Linked DNA regions of Nothobranchius furzeri. The main gene of each other region encodes a partner of the protein of the gene in region 3 in a complex. Links are inferred from orthologs where the notes say so. Each region holds a gene or a part of one and is shown on either strand. Other genes may lie near its edges.

What was found. Proteins that work in one complex are often made in the same cells at the same time.
Region 1: snrpd3l (region 3) and snip1 share a complex: the UniProt entries of both Homo sapiens proteins name them as parts of the minor spliceosome. The link is inferred for Nothobranchius furzeri from reciprocal best matches to the Homo sapiens genes SNRPD3 and SNIP1.
Region 2: snrpd3l (region 3) and cwc27 share a complex: the UniProt entries of both Homo sapiens proteins name them as parts of the minor spliceosome. The link is inferred for Nothobranchius furzeri from reciprocal best matches to the Homo sapiens genes SNRPD3 and CWC27.
Region 4: snrpd3l (region 3) and lsm8 share a complex: the UniProt entries of both Homo sapiens proteins name them as parts of the U4/U6-U5 tri-snRNP complex. The link is inferred for Nothobranchius furzeri from reciprocal best matches to the Homo sapiens genes SNRPD3 and LSM8.
Region 5: snrpd3l (region 3) and armc7 share a complex: the UniProt entries of both Homo sapiens proteins name them as parts of the minor spliceosome. The link is inferred for Nothobranchius furzeri from reciprocal best matches to the Homo sapiens genes SNRPD3 and ARMC7.
Region 6: snrpd3l (region 3) and crnkl1 share a complex: the UniProt entries of both Homo sapiens proteins name them as parts of the minor spliceosome. The link is inferred for Nothobranchius furzeri from reciprocal best matches to the Homo sapiens genes SNRPD3 and CRNKL1.

Annotation. Positions count from the first base shown.
Region 1 is NC_091745.1:70,706,758-70,710,942, reverse strand, and holds snip1 (smad nuclear-interacting protein 1), read right to left. Parts: upstream 2,801-4,185; 5' UTR 2,658-2,800; coding exon 2,497-2,657; intron 1,855-2,496; coding exon 1,725-1,854; intron 1,651-1,724; coding exon 1,115-1,650; intron 1,030-1,114; coding exon 777-1,029; 3' UTR 298-776; downstream 1-297. Other genes in the region: dnali1 (axonemal dynein light intermediate polypeptide 1), read left to right, coding at 3,037-3,114. UniProt on the Homo sapiens protein: Required for pre-mRNA splicing as component of the spliceosome. As a component of the minor spliceosome, involved in the splicing of U12-type introns in pre-mRNAs. Down-regulates NF-kappa-B signaling by competing with RELA for CREBBP/EP300 binding.
Region 2 is NC_091746.1:63,257,101-63,261,366, reverse strand, and holds the start of cwc27 (spliceosome-associated protein CWC27 homolog), read left to right. Parts: upstream 1-1,466; 5' UTR 1,467-1,777; coding exon 1,778-1,819; intron 1,820-2,166; coding exon 2,167-2,263; intron 2,264-4,266. Other genes in the region: ppwd1 (peptidylprolyl isomerase domain and WD repeat-containing protein 1), read right to left, coding at 813-915, 1,006-1,138. UniProt on the Homo sapiens protein: As part of the spliceosome, plays a role in pre-mRNA splicing. Probable inactive PPIase with no peptidyl-prolyl cis-trans isomerase activity. As a component of the minor spliceosome, involved in the splicing of U12-type introns in pre-mRNAs.
Region 3 is NC_091746.1:48,714,707-48,718,978, reverse strand, and holds snrpd3l (small nuclear ribonucleoprotein D3 polypeptide, like), read right to left. Parts: upstream 2,801-4,272; 5' UTR 2,669-2,800; intron 1,879-2,668; 5' UTR 1,864-1,878; coding exon 1,738-1,863; intron 951-1,737; coding exon 758-950; intron 375-757; coding exon 310-374; 3' UTR 179-309; downstream 1-178. UniProt on the Homo sapiens protein: Plays a role in pre-mRNA splicing as a core component of the spliceosomal U1, U2, U4 and U5 small nuclear ribonucleoproteins (snRNPs), the building blocks of the spliceosome.
Region 4 is NC_091741.1:34,219,555-34,223,704, forward strand, and holds lsm8 (LSM8 homolog, U6 small nuclear RNA associated), read right to left. Parts: upstream 2,697-4,150; 5' UTR 2,072-2,696; coding exon 2,041-2,071; intron 1,574-2,040; coding exon 1,533-1,573; intron 1,064-1,532; coding exon 936-1,063; intron 813-935; coding exon 722-812; 3' UTR 501-721; downstream 1-500. UniProt on the Homo sapiens protein: Plays a role in pre-mRNA splicing as component of the U4/U6-U5 tri-snRNP complex that is involved in spliceosome assembly, and as component of the precatalytic spliceosome (spliceosome B complex).
Region 5 is NC_091756.1:50,515,213-50,519,237, reverse strand, and holds the start of armc7 (armadillo repeat-containing protein 7), read right to left. Parts: upstream 2,801-4,025; 5' UTR 2,768-2,800; coding exon 2,708-2,767; intron 2,634-2,707; coding exon 2,546-2,633; intron 549-2,545; coding exon 405-548; intron 326-404; coding exon 1-325. UniProt on the Homo sapiens protein: As a component of the minor spliceosome, involved in the splicing of U12-type introns in pre-mRNAs.
Region 6 is NC_091742.1:17,433,302-17,437,331, forward strand, and holds the start of crnkl1 (crooked neck-like protein 1), read right to left. Parts: upstream 2,801-4,030; 5' UTR 2,663-2,800; coding exon 2,615-2,662; intron 2,111-2,614; coding exon 1,958-2,110; intron 1,871-1,957; coding exon 1,779-1,870; intron 1,697-1,778; coding exon 1,538-1,696; intron 1,465-1,537; coding exon 1,298-1,464; intron 1,013-1,297; coding exon 834-1,012; intron 761-833; coding exon 590-760; intron 482-589; coding exon 290-481; intron 221-289; coding exon 161-220; intron 89-160; coding exon 8-88; intron 1-7. UniProt on the Homo sapiens protein: Involved in pre-mRNA splicing process. As a component of the minor spliceosome, involved in the splicing of U12-type introns in pre-mRNAs.

The DNA of each region.
Region 1 (4,185 bases), on a different chromosome or scaffold from region 3:
ACATAAATGTGGAGCAGAGGTTTTAACCAAAAGATGGAGATATAATTATGGTTTTGGGCTGAAGTATCAAATTTTAAGTAAGACGCACTAAACTGCTAACCTAGTGAACTAGACCAAATTCTTGCTTTGCAAAGTAAATAATACATTTATTTAGTCTGGCTTGCCAGGCTACTAAACTGCCACATTAATGATTACACGTGTGTACAGCCCCATTAGACACTCATCTGTGCAAGTTATCAGCACAAAAAAAAATAGTTAATTTAGGCGTTACTTGCTCTTTAATAACAATCACAGAGATTTTTTTTAATAATCTATATTTTAATTTACAGTAGAAAAATGAACTCTTACTATCAATACACCTGAACTGACAAAATCAAACAGGGAAGTTTTTGTATAAATGATGCAGAAACACATAGCATCAAGTATTTCCCCTCCACTACAAAAAAAAGCAAAAAATAAAAATACAATTATTATATTCTGTGTATTTATGTTCATTAAGTCAATAAGAAATGCTTTCCTAAACATAAGGTTGGTTTTCCAATGATGTACCCTGACATAACACATGAGATCAGCCATGCATTAATCCTGAGAAAGGAGGTCTACTTGGAGACAGGTGTGGCAGGTTTAAGCAAGAGTTCAATATTTACACAATATACATAACAATCCAACCACGTGGTGTGAATTCCCACGCACAAGATACATCGCTCCACTTTCTAACATTCTCATTGGTCTTATCCATCATAAATGAATTTAGGCACAAACACATTGGGAGTAATTTACTCAAGACCCTCGTCTTCTTCTTCTTCCTGCTTTGCATCAACTTCGCTCGTGTCGGAGAATTCGTGCAATAGGACGTATTCGCGGCTGCTAAAGCCAAACTTGAGAACGTCTTTTTCTTTGAGCTCGTAGTAGCGCTGAGACTCGATCCGCTGGTTGTTCAGGTAGGTACCGTTGCCAGAAGCGAGGTCGATGATATAAGGCCTTACCCTGCGGCCAGTGGTGCCGTCTTTTCGAGTGTACTCCACTAACCTGCAGAATAAACAGAATCCTTAGTTGTATATTTTCCCCACAAATCTAATTAATCACACAGTGAAAACATTTACATACAACATACCTGTATTGGAATACTGCATGTTGCTTGGAGCAGGATGGGTGGTCGATGGGGATATCAGCGATCTTTCTTTGCCGCCCCAACAAATAGGCACTCTGTCTGTGAATGTACATGACAGGAAGGGGTTCATCATTCTTGAAAGGGTACAATCGCCACCTGCGCTTTGGAATTCGAGCTTCCTGTGGCTCGTTGTACTTGATCACCACCCCACGGAACGTGTTGGTGTCCTCTGTGAGAGCCCCTGACAATTCAAAGTTGGGCTTCTCTTTATCAGCAGGCGGTGCCCCCGAGTCGCTGCCGTCTCCCTCAGCTTGTCCAAACTCCTGTTCTTGATTTTCTTCACGCCGCCGCCGATTTTCCCTACGCCGCTCATCGTGCTGCCGCCGCTCAGCTTGCTGAGTCACTTGGGAGTTTCGCTCACGATGCCTCTCTCCATCCCGGTCCCCGGACCTGTTATGTTCCCACCTGCTTCGTCTTTCATCTGGCTGCTCGTTCCTCCTCCTCCGCTCATCGCCGCTAGATCTATGCTCATCACGCTCCTAAAACAAAAACACAAAACCTTCATGACTACAAGTTGAGACAAGTCAGTTTCAGTTTAGAATTTTATAATCACCCTCTTTATTCTAGAGTCACTGCTACAATGAGGGCTGTGATTTCTCTTGTTTCTGGGAGATCTGCTGTTTCGTCTAACAGGAGAGGTCTCCCTTCTGCCTGGTGAGCGGTCTCTTGTCCTCACGGGTGACCTGTGTGAGGAGCACAAAAGAGAAAACACTCTTAAGCCACTCGTATCAGTTAGGCAGCATTTACAAACTAAAATAGTAATAAAGTCATCTTTCAGTGTTAGAGATTGTAAGAGATCAGGTGTGGGAATTAAACAAGATTAATCAATACTTTGACTTTGCATTAAATATCCAAAATGTGTGTAGAGGATCTAAGATGTTAGTTTTTGATACCAATTAATAAAGTTTTGATTAGCTAAAACGCATGTTTTAGCTAATTGCCATTGGATTTTAGAATATTACTACACATTATAAGAAATTTAAATAAATGTAGCTATATAAACTATATATTTAGATGCTTTTGATTGTTTCTTGATTTGTACTCATTCGAGTAAGACAGGAGCTTGGTTAATAATCTAACTGACGTACTATAGGCACTTGAAGCTGAACGTGATATAGTTGTAAATACACGTGTTAATAACAATCTACTTACTGTGATATAAAGAAATAACGTAAATTATCTGAACTTTTTTTTTCTAAAAAGCATTTCCTTTGAAGATGTGTCAACTTAAGTCACATTTAAATTCAGTTATTAGAAAATAAAGAACATCAGATCTGAATATTATCACCTTGGTGGTGCTCAAAGGGCGACAAACGCGTGTTTACCTGCTGGTTCTTCTCCTCTGTGGACTGGAGTTGTCTGTGGATCTCGACCTCGAGCGGCGTGATTTCTGCGGCCTACTCGGACTCAATTTCTCCTGTTTTACTTTCACTTCCGGCTCTCGCGTGGGAGAATCTCTTCTCTTGTGTCGCTTCTCTTTGGCCATTTTTGAACAAAATCCGTCAACTTTTTGTGGCTACGCAAGCATAGTTAGCCACAGAAGCAAACAAACGCAAAACCCACCAAACGGTTGCTAAAGTTGCGTTCCGTTTCCGTTTGGCGCGCTGACAATTTCTTCCGACGTGGTATATGTGCTTTCAACTAAACGTTCCGCTATGATGACTTCCGTTCCGTTTAAAGATAACACGGATTAAATCATGAAAACTACAGATATTTTTATGAAGCCGTAAATTCAACTCCAAGTGGATTTGAGCTATTTTTCTTTTTTAAATTGCGCTTAGATCTTTTTTTTTCTGTTTTCCGGCAAACGCCCGAACGTTACCATGACAACATAAACAGCTATTTCTGTACATAAAGGCGTCAGGATGATTGAATTAGACGATTCTCTCTTGAAATATGACGATCCCGTTTTGGTTAAGAGGACAGCCTCAAGCTCAACCAAAGTAAGTCGGACAAACCCTAAAGGTGTGGATTGAAGGGGTACCATTAACGGAAGTTGTTGGAAGAAACACAGAGCAAAGAGATCCAGACTTTTTGTGCCCTACATTTTATTTATTTATTTCTACTCTGTACGGAAAAGGGAATAGAGCCACTGACAAGGGAAAAAACAACAACTGCTGCCCATCTCACAAACCAGAGCGGAAAAAAGCACATCGGCTTAAATTATACAGATGGGAAATAACGCCAGTTAATTACTTAAGTGTTGTTTGTGTGCTTGTTGTTCAGTAGCTAATGCTATAATTAATATAATCTGGCTTTTTTCATAAACCCCACACACTGTGCGTGATGCGCTTTTGGCAAGGCCGGATTATAATATGGGCAAACTGGGCACAGGCCCAGGGGCCCACAGCCACAAGGGGGCCCACGCAAGCAGCAGTCTTTTTTTTTGTGTGTGTGCAGCAGTCTCACTCGCCCCCACTGTCCCACAGATTGACAACATTTTTGTTAGTACAGACAGAAGAGAAGACAGGAGTGCTGTGAGGAAGAGAGACAGAAAAAGAGGAGAAAAGAGAGAGGACAGAGGAAGAAAGACACATGAGTGAGGCACAACAGGAAAATCATCAGGCATGAGTGTTAAGGGCTCAACACACGGGAGGCGACATCACCTCTCCTCCATTCATTTTCAATGAGACATGCGCGACAAAGCGATAATCGGGGGTCTCTCTCCTACTAAGCGAAACGCGAAAAACGTGCGTGTGAAATTTTGCACTCGTGCACGTGTCGTGCACGGACGACCCAGCGACGCGATCCCAGAAAGTTGAAACATTTTCAACTTTTCATCGCTGTCGCTCAGACGAGGACCAATCAACGGAGGTTTCATTCACTGACCAATGAGCGGACAGGATGCTCTATACACCTCCGAGCAAACATGAAGGAGAAGTTGATTATTATTATGTTTTATAGTAAAATCACAAGTAAGATTTCACATAACTCTAGCAACAACTTGTGAAACATCATATCTACCGCTTTATTAACTCTGAACTGCTTAAATAACCTTAATTACCTCCAACCTG
Region 2 (4,266 bases), about 15 Mb from region 3:
GGCTACCACTCAGGATGTGACTTCTGATGTTGATGTGCTGGTGAAAGCTAAAAGATGTTAAGTAAAATGAGTCAAATATACTTTAAAAGCTGCATGAAACTGATCTAGCCATGTGATCTGTAAGCTCGTTGAATCACTAAGGAATGTTTATTTATTTATGGATTTTTTTTCTTCTTTCAAATTTTCAAGTACACTTCAGGTATTTTACTTGTACTATTTTGGATACACTGTCCTCAGGCTACAGCCTTGTTTTATATTGATTGTATTAAAACAAAGAAAACCATCTGAAGTTTTTTTTAATTTACCGGTTCGGCCCACTTGGGACTAGATTTCCCTCAATGTGGCCCCTGAGCTAAAATGAGTTTGACACCCCTGGTTTACACGGTCAGCGATTAGTCTTCATGTCATGCACTGGGTACAGACAGCGGTTAGCTGACTTCCGAGGACTCGCGATAGGGAATGGTGGGTCGCTTAGGGACTATCAACAAATTTGTAGTCCTTTGTAAACGAGTACAAAATTGTTTTTAAACTTCCAGAATAATTTCCTAAATGACTCAAAATTACTTCTGACATGTGTTACTAAACTACATTTACAAGACACAACAGTTTTAACACATTTCACTCAATCTGATCTTTTTTATTAGGATTTTATTTCAAAATTAAGGGACTTATAGCGAGTCCTCGGAAATCAGCACATCGCTGTGCTCAGTGCACGGCATAAAGACTTATCGCTAACAGTGTAAACCAATGTCTGTCAAATATCCAACGTCCAAGTTCAAGCTAACTTTACCGCGGTATTTTTCTCCACTTACTTCGAACACACCAAGTGTGTGATAACGTCTCTATGCATGTAGCTCCGTTCGTACATGGCAGCTGATGGGAGGTTATCCAGGTAGACTCGCTCGTATTCTAGGACTGAAGAAATAACCGAACCAGAATTAGCGGGATTTACTGAAAAGTGGATTCGCGCAAACCATTGTGGTAAATTCAGTGTCATTAACCCACCTCTTCGTTTCTTTGTCTTTGATGCTTCATTTGGCATGGGTCCAACCCAGTCTGTACTTTCATCATTTCCATCTTCATCTTGAACATCATCAGCTTTTCGTTTTAACTCCAAACTGTTTTCAACCTCCGCCATTGCTGCACAGCGTCGTGTGGTCCTTTCGTAATTACGGCACTTCCGCTGCGCTCTGAATTTAATTTTGCTCCGTCAGAAACTTAGCGAAATTTATTAGAGATTGTAAATTTTTAAGTAATATTTTAGAATGCACCCTAAATTATAAAACTGGATTATATTTTCGTATTTTAAGTGTAATAGAAGCTTAATGCGGAACTTGTTATTATGCTTTGTTTCTATGGGCCTATTAACGCTGAACATCGTGTGGATTCAACCATTTTCACTTTTAGGGGCTGAGCCTGCGATTGTTTTTGATGTTATGTTGTCGTTAGCGGTTTAGCTGGTTGTTATGAACGTGAAAAAATATTTTCAAAATGAAAACATATAAACATCTTAAATAATTATCATAAACAGCAGAGTATACTAAATAAAAAAGAGTAGTACATCAGGATTCCCCCGTGTTCTCTGAAGTAAACACTGCACTAGCATGGCTGTTGGAGGATAAGTGTGAAATTTGCAACATTCGGGAAAAGTACAAGCAGTTATCAGGATTACTAACCGTTTATCTATTATACATTTTACGTGAGTTGAAGGTATAAAGGTGTTAAAGATTAGAATTTCGTTTTTTTTTCGAAGCACATAAGCAGATTCACCTTCAAAATGAGTAACATATATATCCAGGAACCTCCAACAAGTGGAAAGGTGAGTGCCTTCCTATCTTTTTATTTTGTCTGTATTTACATTAAGAACATGCAGTGTAGCTTTTCCTTGTAAAGTTTATACACATTTCGTTGAAACCAGCTAGTTGTTGATATGTTACCAGCTAGTTGTTGATATGTTGCTAGTAGGAGGTGAACGCGTGTGCCATAGAAGTAGCGGGATGGTAGGAGAAGTTAGCCTGGCAAGCGAGACAAAATAAATATATTATTTGCTTTGCAAACTTCTGTGCAAAAAAAAAAAAACTTTGCAAAGAAAGATTTTGGTCTAGTTCACTAGGCTAGGGAGAAGTAGTTTTATATGTAGATATGTTTTGCTGTGCTGCTTTTCAGGTGCTGATGAAGACCTCAGCAGGGGAAATTGACATCGAGCTGTGGTCCAAGGAGACTCCTAAAGCATGCAGGAACTTTGTGCAGCTGTGCATGGAAGGTAAGGTAGACCGTGCTGTTAAAAAACGGTCCGTGGAGGAAAAATCTGAAATTCAGAAGTTGTGGATGATGCATTCCAAAAAAATACAAGTATCCATATGTACATATTGATATTTACTGCAGTACAGATATCAGTGAACCTCATGTATGTTAAAGGGGGTATATTATCCATTCATCCATCCATCCATTTTCGGCTGCTTATCCGGGGTCGGGTTGTGGGTGCAGCAGTAGGCCCAGACTTCCCTCTCCCCAGCCACTAAGGCCAGCTTCTCCAGGGGAATCCTAGGGAGTTACCTGGCCAGGTGAATGACATTGTCCCTCCAGCATTTCCTGGGTCTTGCTTTAGGTCTTCTCCCGGTTGGACATGCCCGGAAAACCTCACCAGGGAGGTGTCCAGGAGGCATCTTAACTAGATCCTCCTCAACTGGTTCCTCTTGATGTGCAGGAGCAGCAGGTCTGCTCCGAGCCCCTCCCAGATGATCAAGCTCCTCACCCTATCTCTAAGGAAGAGCCCAGCCACCCTGCAGAGAAAACTCATTTAGGGCGCTTTTATCTCCAATCTCATTCTTTCGGTCACTACCCAAAGCTGAAAAGATAAAAACACTTAGTTTTAGTGTCAGTTCATGACCCAGCTCATCTTTCTCAAACAGGAAGCTACGTTTTTAAAACCTTTGTTTTGGCGTCAGACTCCGGCTGCAGGTCTCCTTTTCTCGTCTTCCAGCTAAACAGCGGAGCTGTCAGCTGGTCATTCATCCTTCTCCTCCTTTATACACAAGAACCCACTAAACTACAGAGAAGTAACAATCTGTCACAGATCGCTGCTATATAACTTTTGCCGTGAATTCTGTTTCAATGCTCCGCAGATCCGCTCCATGTGACAGCTCACACCCGCTGTCACAGAGCTTCCTCTGTCCACAATTTATCTGATGGTCTAAAAAAGGTAGTTTAATTATTTTAGTATAACTCTGGTTTAACTTGTTCTATTAACAGAAATAAAAACTGGTGGGTATTGAAACTGAAGCTCAGAGAGGCGGAGTCTTGCTGCTGCGGCGTCCCAAAAGGTGTGTTTTCATTGGTCGGTTGCAGACAGGAGTCCCAGGTTTTCAAGCATGCTTGAAGACTTTTTTAAGCTGATTTGGTCGTGAGACGGCTCAAAAAGTTGTCGCAGAGCCGGCCACACTGTATTTTTTTTTGTCACGATTCTGCTCAGGACTAGGAATTTGGCAAAGACAGCCGAAAATCATACAGTGTGATCTGGGCGTAAGGGTATAAAGCTGGTCCAGTAGGCACATTTTGTCAGAGTGGGCATGGGCGGAGTTTCACTGTCTCTCAGAGAGACGAGACGCTGGACGCTCTCCTGAGCCGACAACCCGCTCCTGCAGCTGTCGCTTCTGTCACGTTGGGCGAACCATCGGACACGCCACTCGTCACAGATGAAGCTGAACATTCACCTCTCCCTTCAGTAAGACAAGCAGTAAGTGTAGCAACACAGTGTTCTCCAAATATACAATATCTGAAAAAATGATTAAAGTTGTTTTACTGAATATCCTAATCATCTATGAAGCACACGACAGCTCTGGATGCTAAAATTCTCCTAAACAATTCATAATTGAATAAGTTTGACCACGCGACAGCTTACCGTTAACTTCTGCGGACAAAAATATGAGCTCTTAACAACAAACACTCTCCCTTTCGGTTCCCATGGAGACGCATTTGCAGCACACACACCACTGCTTTTGTCCTGCTCTCGCTTCATCCCGCCCTTCTTGCTCTTCATTTTGATGCTCGTTTTGTGAAACATAATCAGTGATGTCATCATTAATGTTTCGCTCTGGTTCAAATAGAAAAGGCTGAACAGACGACATGTCGATGTCGCTTAACAGTCACTACAGGGTCCCAAAGCCGGCCGGTGCAACCGAGGTACAACCGTATGACGTCACCACCCAGAGTGCATTGTGACGCTAACAACAATCGCGAACTACGAGTTAAACTATTTTTTACAAA
Region 3 (4,272 bases):
ACTAGGATAAATATGCAGTAAAATGCTTTTCCGTGGGTAAATGTACAAATTTTACTTGCTAAAAGGTTACAATACACAATATAAATGAAAGAGGTGGGACTCAAAATTGAATAATACTACAAAAAAAGGGCTTCAATGGGGCAAAGCACAGCAAAGGTTCAGTCAAGAAGAGCAACACTGAGCTGAAATCTGTTTATTTCATACAAAATAAAAACAGTGATAAATTGTAGAGCAAAAGACTGCAAAGTAAACCAAAGCATAGTAAATCCAAAAGATGACATCAAACAATGAAATTTAAAACAAAATAAGTTATCGTCTCTTCTGGAAAATGTTGCCTCTCCCCATTCCACCACGACCTCGTCCTCTTGCAGCCACTGTTAAAAGTAAAAATAAAAAGTCAAACTCCAAAAAAAGGTATCTCTTTGGTCTGGAAGAAATGCCCCCCCACAAATCCCTATTTTCCCTACTCAAATATTTTGACTATGTTGGACTTCTACAAGAGAAGAAATTAGACAATACCATTAAACATTCCTTTGAAAAAGCCTTTTTTTCCCTTTATATTAGATAAAAAAGAATTGGGATCTGTCTTTCAAACCATTCCACCTCAGAAAATGTGAGAAGTGTCCACATAGAACACTGTTGTTACCTGTAAAAAAAAGTAATTAACAACTATTTAAGAGCCAAGCAGCTAAAGAGGGAACTAAACTCTAGCGCTGTCTCAGCATCTGGAGAAATTGTCCAAATGCTTCTCACTCACCTTGTGCTTTAAGAATAGCTGCCTTTCCTCTTCCTGCCCCAGAGCCTTGGTTCTTGTTCTTCATACTCTTTAACATCGGAGCATTCTTTAACATGTCCGGTAGGATCAAAAAGCGGATCTTGCTGCCGCGAATGTAGACCTGTTCCAACTGTGCAACCCGGCCATCGCGGTAGGTCACGGTGATGTTGGACATCTGTAGGGACAAATTCAAGTTTAGGTCCACAACAGGTGAAATGACCGTGTGAGCATCCATTAATCCAGTTCTGTTACTTATCTGGATCTTGGTGCACACAGGTTACCAAACTAGCATGGCTCAAATGTAAATTAACATTTCAGTTTATTCAACCCTTATAAAAATGTGTGCTGAAATAGAATCCAATTGAAGAGTGATGTTACTTTAGACTGTTTATTAAATTATGATGCAACAACAGAGTTAAATAACTGACTGAACTGGGTAAATCATGAAAGCTAAAGACCAACTTAAAATGAAAACCCAACATAAAAGCCTTTCTGATAAGAATGCTTTAATGAAACACTTTTACAAAAAAATAAAACTCTTCACACCAAGCATCCATGTACACCATTGTTTGGCCAAACGTTTTGCAATTTAGGGGAACACTAATCCCAAACACAAATTAGTTTACCAGTAATTACACAAACAAAAGCTTTTATGACTACATACCCCACAAAAAATCCACATTAACAGAACACCTTAAATGCCAAATTTACTGACCCAAGTTATTGTGAGTGCACAAAATAAAAATTAAATATTTTTTTTAATTTAACCCATTAAAAAGCTGCAAGAAAGGCAATTTGCAAGAGAAATAAAAACAAAATTTATTCAGGCAGCAGATGGGATTGAAACAAGCACTGACTGGATGTTTATGATCAACAGTATTTTGAAGGCTTTTCATTGACACTTTTCTTGACAATTAAAAATCACTGGAACCCTTTTAAACCATACTGCTAAACAAACCAACCTGGCAGTTCATATTGTCCTCTGCTTCTATCAGCTTGCCCCTGTACACCTCTCCAGTGTTGGTCTCACAGGTCACAATGTGACCCTCTGCCTCATGCAGGACCTTGATTGGTACACCGATGGACATGTTTCAAAGCTTTTCCTGGAACACAACACACAAAGCAAAAGATTATACGTGCTCACCCACAGAAATGTCTGCTCTTAAATATTGGCAACCCAAATCCATTTAACTTTATTGGTTAGCCGGGTTGCCCAGTTTCCAGCACTGAAATCTACAATCTGCATTACAACTAGTAGGAGAAGCAACAGAATAAGGCGAGTGAACTTTTTCATGACTGTGGATTAATACTAGTCACTGAAATTAAGACAAATAAGGAAAGACGCCCTGGGAAAACAGGTTTTGTGCAAAAAGCCATAACAAAAGAAGTGTTGTGAACCCGAACGCTACATTAATTGAAACTTTCATGTGGGACATAGTATTTAGACTTAACTAAAATGAAGGTGTTTTTATTATTTAGCATGAATTTACGCAGTAATACACTTTATAACATTACTAGAGAATAAACGATTTCGCTTGGGTATTCTCTTTTTTTAAGAGTCTGGTGGAGAATGTTTGATAGCATTCTAACCGCTAGCTCAGTTAGCCATACTAGCTAGCAAGGCTACAGGACAAATTTATCTAGAAACTACCATTAAACAATTCCAAACAGTAAATATGATTGGCCGTAAATGCTATTTACAGTTTACTACGATTAATAAGCATAGTTAAATACCTAAATATTTTACAGTAACATACGGAGTTTTGAAAATGCGCGTAACCTTAGCCATGCTACACATGAACGAAATAAATCGAAATTTCTAAATAACGAAAACCAATAGAAGAATGAGAACTCCGTTTCCTCAAACTAATTAATGTTACTCCTGTAACTTACCTTGACTTGTTCGTAAGAGTTATTTGCTTTATTGTTATTTCTTCTTGAACTGCAACGTGCGTTTGACGCTTTCGGGATCCTTTTGAGCCTTTTTTTCCGCCTGCAACGAAGGGTCACAACGAGTGTTTCCGGTGGCACCTACCGCGATGCATTGTGGGACACGTAGTTCAATAACGCCCATGGTTGAGGACTATTGAGTATGTACAGTCTATGGGACTATTATTTAGTGAAACTGACAAACTCAGCTTCTTATGTAGAATTATTTTTTTTATAAAGACTGAAACACATAAAATTAAATAAAATAAAAACTAAAATTATAAGAAACTATTTACATTTTAATCACGTTTCCTTAATTTATAATCTGTTTTTTACTTGTATTTGTTTTTAATTTTTTATGCTTGAGAAGCACCTCGCGATTTTTATCTTGGGGGCGCTATATAAAAGATTGTTTCATTCTTTCTTCTATAAATGTTGAGTTATGATGGAAATGAAAATTGATTTTCATTCTCCACAAGTAGAACATTGCATTTCTAAGAGGACTGAATATGTGTTTACGTACATCTGACTAAAGTTTAATGAATAAACTTGATTTCCATGATTTTGAAGGAAATCAGCTGTTGACTACATTTTCTGCATCGTCTAATGACGATGGGCAATTTATGCAGCTACACCAGACACTGAACTGTATTGTTTTAAAAAGCAAATGTTGATCCAGTAGCAGGATTGATTTGCATTTTCTTTCAGAAAAATAGAACAGTTTTGCATTACTTGTCATCTTGGCTCCAAGTTGACATTTACAGCTTTACATGGCTTTTCATAAAGCAGCTCAGTGTTAGGTACTTTTTAAATTCCCATGGAACATTGATCCATCATTGAATCACCCACAACAGTATTTTTATGATCTGTATCTCATGCAAATCAAAACAGCATTAGACATAAAAACAAAACATTAAAATGAACTAATTTTATCTATTTTTACAACACTGAGTATGGCCACAGTGTACTGCACAAATGATATGCAAAGAACTAGAATAAACATAAAGTACACATAATATACATACCCGTGTATGTTTGTTCCAGGAGATGTGTCTCGGGGATTGCTACGGGACACATAAAAGTGGCCTAATGCAGGTCTGTCCCACATTGAAAGAGCTTTTTAATGGGGAAAGAGAAGGCATAATGGGATAATAAAAGACATCATCAAATGAATCTTCATTTGATTTCCATTGCATTTGGCTCATTGACTGGCGTCAGCAGCCATGGCTGATCTGTAAACACCTTTCAGTGAGTAGTTTGTGGTTGGGCACTTTACGTGTGTGTGTGTGTGTGTGTGTGTGTGTGTGTGTGTGTGTGTGTGTGTGTGTGTGTGTGTGTGTGTGTGTGTGTGTGTGTGTGTGTGTGTGTGTGTGTGTGTGTGTGTGTGTGAGTGAGTGAGTGAGTGTGAGGAATCTTTTTATGATTTTGATGTGTGCAGGCCAGACCCTGAAAGTAGTGGTAGCATCACAGGTAGTAACAAAGTGGAAATAAGTCCTTTGGTTCAGCTGAAACGTAGCTGGTTTGTGTTCATTGGTGACTTCAGATCATAGGTTGACCTGGCAATGACA
Region 4 (4,150 bases), on a different chromosome or scaffold from region 3:
TTTATTGTGTGGATGTGCATGTTGTGTTTACTTGTCCAAGGCAATTCAATTTCCCCCTTGGGGATTAATAAAGACAACCTTGAACCTTGAACATCGGGGCTCTCCTGATAAATTCCTGCTTGACAAAGCGCTCCCCTCCTCTCCCGGCTCCACGAACGATTCTCAAGTGGATTCAATCGCCTCTAATCCAAGCGAGCATCGGCAGTCAATGCTAACGATTGTCCATAGGCAGCCCCGATTAATCGATGCTAGACAAATGAGAACAGGACAGATCCTCATTCTTCTTCCAGATGGAGAAATAATTACTCATTCATGACTAAAGATATCAGAACTAAAATAGAGACCATGAGCTGTTTGAACAAAGCCGTAGAGTTGGCGCTATTTAATGTTTCTTTGGCAACGATCTTGTTTTTCCACATATTTTATTAAAGTTTCATTGTTTATGTGTTGTTTTCTTGTTCTGCTCCAGAGTCTGGATGTTTAGAGACCGGAGGACTTCATTATAAACAGCTTAACAAATCAGACTTTATTAAAATGATCTCAGACTGACAAAAACATGAAGTAGAAAACAAATCCAACATGTTATTTATAAAAAATACAAACAGAAACAGAACAATCGAGGTTCTGCAGCTTCACCACTCATCACGCCTCCCAGAACACGACAGCAACAGAACTGAGCTGTACTGTGATGGGTTGCCATGGAGACAGCAGGGTTCAAAGGTCAGTGTACAACAGAGTTGAGCGGCTCAGCTCTGATGTTCCCTAAATCCAGCGTGGAGTCGGTCTCCTCATCAATCTCCCCGATCACGGCGCTGGAGCAGAAACACGAGAAACGGTTAGAAGCTGTCCGAGGAGCAGCCGAGCTCCCCGTGCACCGGGACGTCCTTAGGGGTCATCATTTCTCATTTAGTTTTAGTTTGACCGAGGTGACTCACACGTTGTCTCCTCTAACGATGTAGAGGCCCAGCACCACCTGCTCCACCCCCTGGTTGGAGCTGAACACGCGCTCGTGGCTCTCATCCAGGATCAGGTTGATGGTCTGATCAAAGCCCTTCAAAGTGCCCTGAACACCCAAATGATAAATAAATAAATATAAATAAATAAGTACAGCACCTTTCAGTCAGAGGATTCCAAAGCAACTTAATATTATTATTCATCAACACGCTGGTGGTGTTGAGCTACAATGAATCATACTTAAAACAACCAGGCTAATAAAATACTAATAGTTCAGATTACACTTGAACTTTTATTTCAAAATGATTTTCAGTTATCTGCAGTTTTATGCCCCAAAACAGTAAAAATCTGACCATAAAAGTAAAAACGTGTCTGTCAGCATCTGTAGTGATGGGAACAGGACTAGATTTCTGGATTTACAGTCGAGGGAAAAACTAAATCCCCTGTGACCGACACCGGTTTAAATGAGGCTTCGGTTCAGGTGGAGGGGAAATCCTTGTGCTGGAGCCTCAAACATCTAAACACCAGAACCGTATCATCTTCTCTGCTGTCCAGCTGAGCTGAAAACGTGAACTCACCACGATCATCCTCCCGTCTGAGGTGACGATGGCAACAGTTCCTGGATCAGCTGGAGTCAAGGAAACATCATCTGTGCACAACTCATCAGTAAATTACGTCTAGCTTCTCCGTTTTCACCCGAACAACAACGATGGGTGTGCTTCAGTTAAATAACCCGACATCTTAAATCAGAAACAAACTAAATATATTTTATTCACAACCCGTGAAACCGAACTAACGCAGATCAGAACCGTTAATATCTACGTTTTGACGCCATCTGATCATATAAAATTCTATCAGTGATTTTTTTTTATGCAAACACTGATTTGAAATTGAACTGCTACGTAAAAGTTATTCCAGGTATGTTCATTCAGTTCTAAATAAAAATGAGTAGTTTTTTTGTCGCTTTAGCTTTTACCGTCTCTAAACTCCACCTAAACAACAACAAATTACATAAACATCGAAGCTAGCGCGCTAAGCTAACTAGCACTTCTTAAGCATGCAGTTAGCATGCTAGCAGCAAGATACGGTTGATGTAGCTCTCCAGCGCGGTGGACATGCTTCGTCCCGGACTCGGTCTCTATCTGTCCAGCAGAAAAATCGGTAAATCCCTCCAACGGTTGTCTATTTGCGCCGCTGTGTAAAAAAATAAAACGGAAAGAGCATCAAACCGCACCGCACCAAAACACCGGAGACAAGTCAAGACTAATCATACGCCGAATCATCGCGCAGGAAGGGGCGCGGAGGGTCGAGCGGTGACGTTTTTTTTATTCAAATTCCTCCAAATGTTATCATCAAACATTGATCTGGAAAGTTGTTTAAACGTGTGAGTAGGTGATGTCAGAGCTACAACCCTAAAGACAAAATATTGGGTACAGAAATGAAACACACTATAGCCCTATCAGTGGCGCATTTAGCAATTTGGGGCCCAAGGCGAGCACAGACATGGGGCCCCCTTAAAATAAATTTCGGCAATCTTACTTTTAATTGGATTTACAAAACTCTCCCCTCTTCTGCCATGAGTTATTTTCCCTTTTTATTAGTCCTCCTCTTTATTCATGTCTTTCTCTCCCTTTGAGTGCCTCCAATATTTGCTCTGCTTTCTTCTTCCTGTCAGTGCTCCTGAGCTTTTGCCTTTTTTAAATTTATTTTTCATTTTGGTCTACGTTTTCCTCCCTTTAAACATTTTCTATTGTCTTTCCTTTTCTGCTTCCTGATGCTCGAGCATCCGACAGAGGTGGAAAGTAATGAATTACATTTACTCACGTTACTGTAATTGAGTAGCTTTTTTGTATATTTATACTTTTTAAGTCATTTTTAAAATCTGTACTTTTACTTGAGTAAGTTTTTTAAAAAGAATTGTAATTCGCTACATTTTAAATCATATCCGTTACTGAGTAAAAATAAATTATAGGCTTAATAAATTAAAAATATTACGTGAAGCAGCGTCAGAACGGAAAGAGACACCTGCATGAGGACCGCATCTAAACCGGGGGTGTGTGGGGGTGTACACTTTTGCTCAAAGACATCATCAGTTCAGTCGATCAACTCGCTGTTTATCACCTCTCTCCCTCCTCTCCTGTGGTTGGAACCTGCACCTTCGCGCACCAGTGTGACATCATCAGAATTCTGCTCGGTTCGGTAGCGAGACTCGGTTCCGTGTTTGAAATGTGTTTCCCTACCGCTCCGCACGGCAGCGGCAAAATACTGTTTAGTGCTCATAACAAGCGGATTATCAGCGCTTTGCTCATAAACAGAAGAGCTGCAGGCCTCTGTGAGTTAAAACATCATGATACTGTTCAGGTGTAAACATTGTGCTCCATCCCTGTGTTTGAACTCAGAAGTTGCTCCTTGATGCCACAGATATGTGATGATTTAGCTTGTTTCTTTATTTTACTCCAGAATTAGAGATTAAATTATTACTAAAGCAATTCAATGTAGTTAAATTAGTCATGGCGTGCGTGTGTGTGTGTGTGTGTGTGTGTTACACATATAGGACTGCATGAGACAGCGTGGTTTCATCAAATCCATGCATCTCATATCTTGGGTGAAGTAACGGCTCAGGAAAATAACATATATTTCATAAATAATGACGTCTCTGCAGTGTTTATGATAATGTTTTATCTTATCTTTGGTCTGGGAGGTGTAACTTATCATGATACAAGCCTTTTAAAACATGTTAAAGTGTTACAAGAGGAGATAAATGCATGAATTTAAAGTTCATGTTTGGAGGCTCACGCTGGTGAGGAGACACCGTTAGTTCTAGTAACACCTGGGCTCCCAAGGCCTGTTCTGACAGGATGGATGTTACGGGACCCTTAAGGATTCCAGTTGGATGATTGGAGGATTATTTAGGAGGATTGAAATGAACAAACTGATTTCAGTGGTGAAGGGTTAAATGAGTGAGTGAACCCACTGCCAAGGATGAACTCTGCTAGCTTTAAAAATCAGCTGCTCTAAATAAGCATGAAGGTCAGAGAGGATCTCTAGGATGGACATGGATAAAGGAACTGTAATGTAGAGGTAAAGTAGGGCAGGGCCAACGTTAGCAGCTGTCATACGGTCCATCTGACATGTTTGACTGCATTAGGCTTGCTATGTGACAGGTTAGAGCACAGTCTCATGTTAGAGTTTTGTC
Region 5 (4,025 bases), on a different chromosome or scaffold from region 3:
ATCCCGATGGCCGTCTGCACCCCCTGCATCTGCAGCTCAGCCTGTCTCACCTGCTCCTGGCTGCAGCAGTCCTGCAGGAAGACCGAGGCCAGGTTGCGCAGACGGGGGCTCTCTGCGAGTGAGAAGCGCAGCATGCACTGAACGATCCCTGGCTCTGTGATCTGAGAGCAGGTCGCTGGTGTGGTGAGGTTCATCAGGGTGGTGACGGCAGACAGCACCGTCTCCTCCCTCCGGTTTGACAGGTGGTTTGTGATCAAGCTGATCCCATCGTTCTCCAAGATGATGTCTCTGCATCCAGGGTCCATACTGAGGTTACACAGACCCCCTGTCAACACAATATTTGAGTTTAGATGATTTTTACATAAACAAACATGATTTACTGTTTTAGTTGGAGAGATGCTCACCCATCCCAAACTCCACAAAGTTCTCATTCTCTTCGGTCAACATGTCCAGGAACAGGTCAGGAACCTGCAGCTCCCTCAGGTACTCCATGTTCTTTGGGTCATATGCAAAGTTGGCTAGATTTGCCAGAACCTGCTCCTTTGCCTCTGATAAAGAGAAAAAGTAATGAAACAAACAGAGATACCTACATCCACTAATTCACCTTACACCAGCTCATTACAAACAATGATAAACAGAGGCTGCAGCACAGAAACAGTACACATTTATACCACAGGGGGCGCTTTTTACTTTCACATCAAAACACCCTTCAGGCTCAAATGTGGAGCTGACAGTATAAAAATAAGATTTGTCTGTAAACTAGAAAGGCGAGGCAGCTTTATTTGTGTAGCACATTTCATACACTGAAGCTATTCAATGTACTTTCCAGGTGCATGACCAGCATGATCATAAAAGATTAAAATCAACGTGACGACGTAAAACAGCAGCTTTTAAATTCAAATTTTAAATACTCTAATAAAATTAAATGTAAGAAATAAAATAAAAGACAAAGTTAAAGACTGAGCGCAGAAGGTACAGCATGAGAAATAATCCTTCAAAGGCTGATGAATGCATGAAAGTCTTCCATTTTGACTTAAAAGTTACTAGAGTTGGGGCACATTTCAGGTCATAAAGAAGCTGATTCCATCTGTGAGCAGCATAGTAGCTAAAAGCAGCTTCACCCTGTTTGGTTCTGACCCGAGGTTCTACCAGCTGACTGTTTCCTAAGGATCTCAGAGCCCTGCTGGGTGTATATATACAGGAAGGAGATCCAACATGTATTTTGGCCTCATTTATAAACTAGCAGTAGCACTTAGTAATCGTTTCTATAGTTTAATGGCAGCCAGTGTAGATATTTACAACTGGATGGATGGATGTGGAACTAGCGCATTATTTAATTCATCACATTATCTGGCTACTTATTTTTAACACCGTTTTTTTAAAAATAAAAACAAGCAGCTTTCTGCGGTAAAATCCAACAGAAAATGTTTACTTATGGCAGTAATCTCAAAGTGAACTAACATGTAGAATGAACAATCAGAATTTGGTTAAATAACGTCACTTTTTGGTTTCCAAATACTAAGCTTACATTTATTTCATGTCACAACGATACACTTTCAGAATAAAACTTAAAACGCTGCTTAGAATTACAGCTTATTTGATGTATTTGTTCACTTCTACCTGATTTAGTCATGTTTACAGATTCTTTTTCGAAAAATTTTAACTTCATGAAGTCATTTGCATGTATTTGTGATCTTTTTGTCTTCTGAACACAATTCTAATGCTGATAGTCAGCCTTTCTCCTATTGCAATGGATAAAAACTGGTCTAACATATATACAAATGTTCTTTTGACGATTTTTTTTCTCTCACTTCAAATAAATATACTGATGGAGAGTACAGTTTTCGACTGAACAACGGCTTCTGAAAAAGCCCTCTAACGATATAAATAATAGTGATGTGTCAGTCCGAACGAACCGGCTCTAAGAGTCGGCTCTTTGAAGTGAACAACGGGAGCCGGCTCATCATTGGGAGCCGTCCCCTCCCCTCCCCCCTCCCCTCTTGCTTTGGTGAACGCTACAGGCGATTGGTCAACATGTGTAACTGTGTGACCAGACTGTCCACACACAGAGCAGTAGGGACGGGGAAGAGGGAGAATCAGACTCAGACACACAGCAGAGCACATGCAGGTGGAGGTAGACGAGAGGGAATGAGGAGGAAAAAGGTGAGCGAGATAGAGAGGAGAGTGTGATGAAGACGGTGAGAAAATGAGCGCCAGCAGTCGGAAAGTGACAATTTCTTAAAGTGTTCAGTTATTAAATCCATAGAAATTATAAATATTTGATATATTGCATTTTTTTTTACATTAGTAAATAATTTTACATATAGTTTTGCATTATTTTGGTTATAAATGTACTCTACGAAACAGAAAATCTGAGGAGCCATTTGGGAGCCGAAAGAGCCGGCTCTTTCTGGTGAGCTGAGCCATTCCCATCACTAATAAATAATAGCATGCATCTAAACTGAGGGTGTTGAGAGTCTACGTGTTCGTTTTAAAACGGTTTTTATTTTAACTTTGTAGAACACAGATCAAAGGTTATTCCTACCTTCACTGTCAGTGTCCTGAAATTCAGTAACCAGCGTCTGTAAATATTCAAACCGTTCAGGCGCTTCAGCTGACTCATTTCTCTTCATCTTTTAGCAAAAACACATTTAACACTTCAAATAAAATTCACACAGATATCAGATTATGCTGATGTTTAAGTTACTTGACCGTTCATAGCTGATTCAGAGGTTGTTTTCATTTCACGTATGGGTCCGCGGCTCATAAGTGTTCGGAAAAACTGCGCAAGTAGATATTTGTTCCGCTGTTTTATCAAAACTTGTTTGTCCGTGAAGATGTGTTCCCCGTTCACTTTCGCATGATTTAAAGAGTAACGCATTTTTAGCTACACGAAATCGTAACATCGTTGCTATAAACTCGCCTATAACGTTATAAATGCTAGCATTGCTGTCACAATTGTGCAATGAAATACGCGAGAGCTACGCGAGCCGATGAGGAAACACATTTTAAATGGTGTACAGAGATTGATACAACACCGGCAGCTGAGCGGAAGTTAAGGAGCAGAAGGTGTGTTTGTGTTTATGTGCTCGTACAACAGCACATAACGCACGTTGCGGGAGGTCAGCTTAACAAAAACGCTATGTCGCTTTGTTTATTTAAGTAAAACAGCAACAATGAATCACCACCGGCTGTCCGCGAGAAAGCGCCTCGCCAAACCCATTTTGTTCGGAACTCTGCTGGTTGGACTCGCCACTATTTTCATTAACAGGTGAAACTGAGCTTTGCTAACTGCGTAAAAGAAACACACGCACAACACATTTCACTGTAACACCGGTGTGACGGTGAAACTGTCATTGGAGACTGAAGCAAAAATATTAAATACTATGAGTTAGCAGCAAATCGTAAACATATTTGCTTGTCGTTTATGCAGACACAGGTTCCTTGAAGACGTGGTTGAGCTCAAGGCCCAGGAGCGAGAACGCAACTATGCCAGGATGATGGAAGTCCTGGAGAGGAGGGAGAAACAGAAAGAGCTGGTGGAGAAGAAGAAGCAGCAACAGACAGGAAGTGACTGAACATATGAACTTTTTGCAGACGACTGATGCTTTACAGGCCATCAGACATTACAGTCATCCAGTAAATCAGTAAATTATAAGACTGGATGGAAGTTCAGCTGAGCAGGAACCACGCTTTTAAATTTTGACACTCGTGTTGGTCAAGCGGGAGCAGAATTAACCACCATCTACATAAATAGCCTTATTTTTAACTCGAATCATCTTTAATTTGTCTTGTTTTTTTTATCTTTGTGATTACTGTCTGTGATGGGTGTTATATAAATAAAATGTACTTACTATCTGGGAAAAACAGACTAAACCCCTAAGCCAAACAGAAACAGTGGGAGAAAAATATTACTGGATAAACGATTTTTTTTTTTATCAGGGTTGAATTAAAACCAAAGTATCAGGACTTGTATTTTGTCATTAAGGTGTATCAAGTCTGAGATATAAATTTTAACTTCATAA
Region 6 (4,030 bases), on a different chromosome or scaffold from region 3:
AGCTCACCATGATCTTTCTGGAGTTCTGAAGATTCTTTTGTCGGATTTCAAACTGAGCATGAAGCAGCCACATCTTAGCAAATGTGAACTGAAAGAGAAGAGAAAGCACGTCACAGCCTGGTGGTGGTGGGGGGTTACATCATGGTGAAGTTCTAAAGACCTTCTTGTGAGGGATCAGCTCCAGACAAGCCTGGTAAACCTGCCTCGTCCTCTCCGGGTCCTGCCGACACATGTCACCGTTACACCGGTCCGTCAGCGCCCTCTGCAGGAACGCTGCAGGACCACTGACCTTGGTCTCCAGCTCCTCGTACAGAGCGTAGTTGATCCACAGGTAGATGTAGCGCCTCCAGTGTCTCTTCTCCTGCAGGGGGGGCACATTGGCAATGGCTCGTTCGTAAACCTCTCTCACCGTGTCGGCGTCCGCATCGCTCTCCACCAGCCGCAGGTAATCAAACCAGGCGTCGTAGTTGTGTGGGTTAGCCTGAAGGACGAGAAGTTGCTGAGTTTGGGCCACACAGCAGAACACCTGCCTCTGCACACCTGAGCCCAGAACCAGACTTCATCTCTGACCTCCAGACAGGTGAAGTACCTTCACTTCCTCTTCGTACTGGAACCTCCGTTTGCTGACGATCACATCTTCGATTCCTCTCCGGTCTCCAAACTTCTTTTCAAACATGGTGTAGTTCTTGAAGAGCTCCTGGGCCTGATGTTTGGGGATTCTGTCCAGTGCGTACTTGTAGATGACTCGAACACGCTCAAACTGTCCAGAACAAGAACAGAAGTAAGAGAATCCACCCAAACAAACCCATAAACAAAGTTCTGATAGCACCCACCTCCTTCTGTGTCTCCTCAAACTTGGCAAAGGCCACAAACAGGTTCTCCTCCACGTGTTCCTCCCCGAAGAACTCCACAGCCCGCTCGTACACCTTCCTGCTGTGAGCCACATATCCGTGCTTCTCCTCGAAGCGAGCGTATTTGATCCAGTTCTTCACCTCCGGGTGAACAAGGACGAGTGAAGACGAGTTAAAGAACTTCCTGTCTGTTCAAAACCACGCGCAGCCCATCAACCACCAGAACCAGGGTTAGTTAAAAACCGGGTCAGAAGGAACAGAGATGTTCTCCAGTACTCTGTAGGATCAGGTTTAAGGCATTATGGGTCTGAATCTGTAGCTGAACCGGGTCACAGATCTTTGGTGTTTTAATTCGAGTCTGACTGGACCTGTTCCGGTTGTTTTTATGGAACGTGTGTTCTAACCCCACCATTCTAGGTTCTACTGGGCTCCAGTAGAAAGGATATAGTGCTCGTAGATGGTCCGGGCTTTGTCCACCTCCTTGTAGCGCAGCTCAAAGTTGATGTAGGAGTGCCAGGCCTGTTCTTCGGGTTCCCACTCCATCCAGCGTTCAAACACCTGCCTGCAGCCAGCCACGTTCCCCAGCATCTCCTCCATGTAGGTGTACTTGTACCTGAGCAGAACATCAAAAACGTTCCAGCACACACGTGAAGGCTCTGACAGAACCCCAAGCTATAGAGTCCTACCAGAACTGGTTGACCCGTGGAAGGATGGTGATAGCTCTGTCCCAGATGTTACGAGCATGATTCACCTGGCGGCTCTTCATCTCCATTTCGGCGTACTTCAGCCACAAAGTGACATTGCGGTGATCGACGTCCAGCGCTCTTTCATAAATGGACCGGGCCCTGAACCCAGATGAACAGTGTTTAAACAACTAACCAGGTTACCTTAAACCTCTAGTTCCAGCTGTGGTGATGACCTAAATACCTCTGGATCTCCTTCAGACTTTCCTCCCACTGAGCGTACTTAATCCAGTTACTGATGATGGTCCGGTTCTTCCTGATGTTGTCTTCAAAAGCCTGAAACACAGTTAGACCAGTACCCATCAGACGTGTTGTTTACCTGTTAGACTAACCCACCCATGGAGGCTACGCTCTCTAAATCACCTTCCTCTTCCTCAGCTTGTAGTCGTTCAGCTCCTCCTTATCGGTGATCTTCTGTTTGGGTGGCGGAGGCAGAAGCTCCAGCTCCCTCTCCTTGGCCTCTCTCAGCAGCTGCTCAGCTGTGATCTGGACCTCAGCAGGAGCTTTGTTCTTCACCTGGAAAGCAACACAATAAGCTTCAGGACCACTCCTCGGTACCACTCCTGTCCTAGAACCAGAACCAGGGTCCGGTGCGATTTTACACTCTTTAAAACCAGAATTGGCCAAAAAGTCTTTCTGCGTTTTACCAGAACATTTGATCGTTTTTGAATTTACAATTTTTTTTTTGTTTTGTTTTTCTGGTTATGATCGATGAGCCGGGCCGGACCAGAACCAGTGAGCTGAAACATTCTAGGGTTGTGCTGATAAATGGCACTTCAGGTCCAGCATGGCAGAACTACTGGACCTTAGCAGTGATGCTGAGATCCCAGGTGACCGGAACATCTGGGGGAACCAAAGCTCCCACACATCCAGGAGCAGCCTCTGAGCTCCCGGTGGAGGACAGGAGCTCGTGTCTCTGGACCCGGGCCATCAGAACAGAACTCACGGGTCACTACAGCTAAACAGTAATGCGTTAGCATTAGCTTAGCCGCTCTTAGCTCCGCGCTCCGGTCCGCTTACCTTCGCCACCTTCGGTATCCGCTGTTTCCCTGCCGCCGTGGAGGCCATGCTGCCGGTGTGTCGGACCAGACGTTCTCTGTAAAATAAAAGGTCCCAAAGAAACGACTGTTTCAAAGCTTAAGCCACATAAACGTTCCGTTTGCTGCTCCAGCCACCATGACAGTACCCACAATGCTCTGCGACTTCCGGTACGTTGGTATAGCAACGGAAGTTACACAAAGGGAGAGAGTAAAAAACTCAATTTTTTGTACCACGTGACTGAAACCCTCCTAGCTGCAGACGTAGCCCCGGCCAAACACCCCCCACCCCCCACCCACCCCGACAAAACACGCCCCCCTGTTGAGATACCCCCGAGCTCAATAACGGCGGCCCTCCCAGCGAACAACACAATTGAAAGAAAATAAATATAGAAATAGTAATAATGTAATTAAACAGACAGGACTCCAGGTTTAAATATGAATGTATGGATTTTTTTGGCCATCCCCAGTGAGATTATTTTTATTTCTTGTATACACACTTCATGGCCATCCCCAGTGAGATTATAAAACACAGATACCACCAACAAATAATCAGTTGCCGTACAATAGGCACAACATACCTATGCTTACTGACGTTAGCAGGTGAGTAATGTATGTGCAAGTGTTTATTTTAAATGCAATAAAATAAAATATCAGAAAAAGTAATTAGTGGTAATCGTTTTAATTAACCCCTTAAGCCCACTGACCCCCATTTTTGGGAGCACGCCTCCTACAGCAACATTTAACTTTCAACCATTTGTTATTACAGGCACTAACAGTAGGTCTAAGTTCATACGAGTGAGTAGTTAATATTTATGTTACTATCTGTGATTTTTTTATTGCTTCTTTACAGTGAAAAGCTGCTGCTGTGTAATTTTTAGGCATATTTACATGTGTATATATGCATTTCATATATTCTGTTAACAGGAATAATTGCTGGCCCTTTCACACAAAATGTATTGATTTAGAAATTACTAAAATATTTTGCATTAAGTATACAATTCACAAGACTAGTAAACTGATATTGACCATACACTAATCTGTAAAGAATATACTGTAAACACAAAAGCAGAAAAGTTTGGCTTTAGAAAAAAAAGTTCTGACAAATGAAACAACCAGCAACAGCTTTTATTGGCCTTACAAATACCTTCCAAAAAATAATAATAATAATAAATGTCCACACATTGCTACAACCTCTTGAAAAATTCAGATGAGTCCAGAGCTTTTCTGATTTTCTCCGAGTATATGAGCAGTTCCATGGCATAGGACATCAGCTGCCTCTCACTAGTGAGACAGAGATAAATAGCAATTAGTAAAAATGACATTTACACCTAGAGGCTGTCATAACCAATGTGAAAACAATACATATAGGAATTAGCACTGTTCTTGTGTTTGTAGA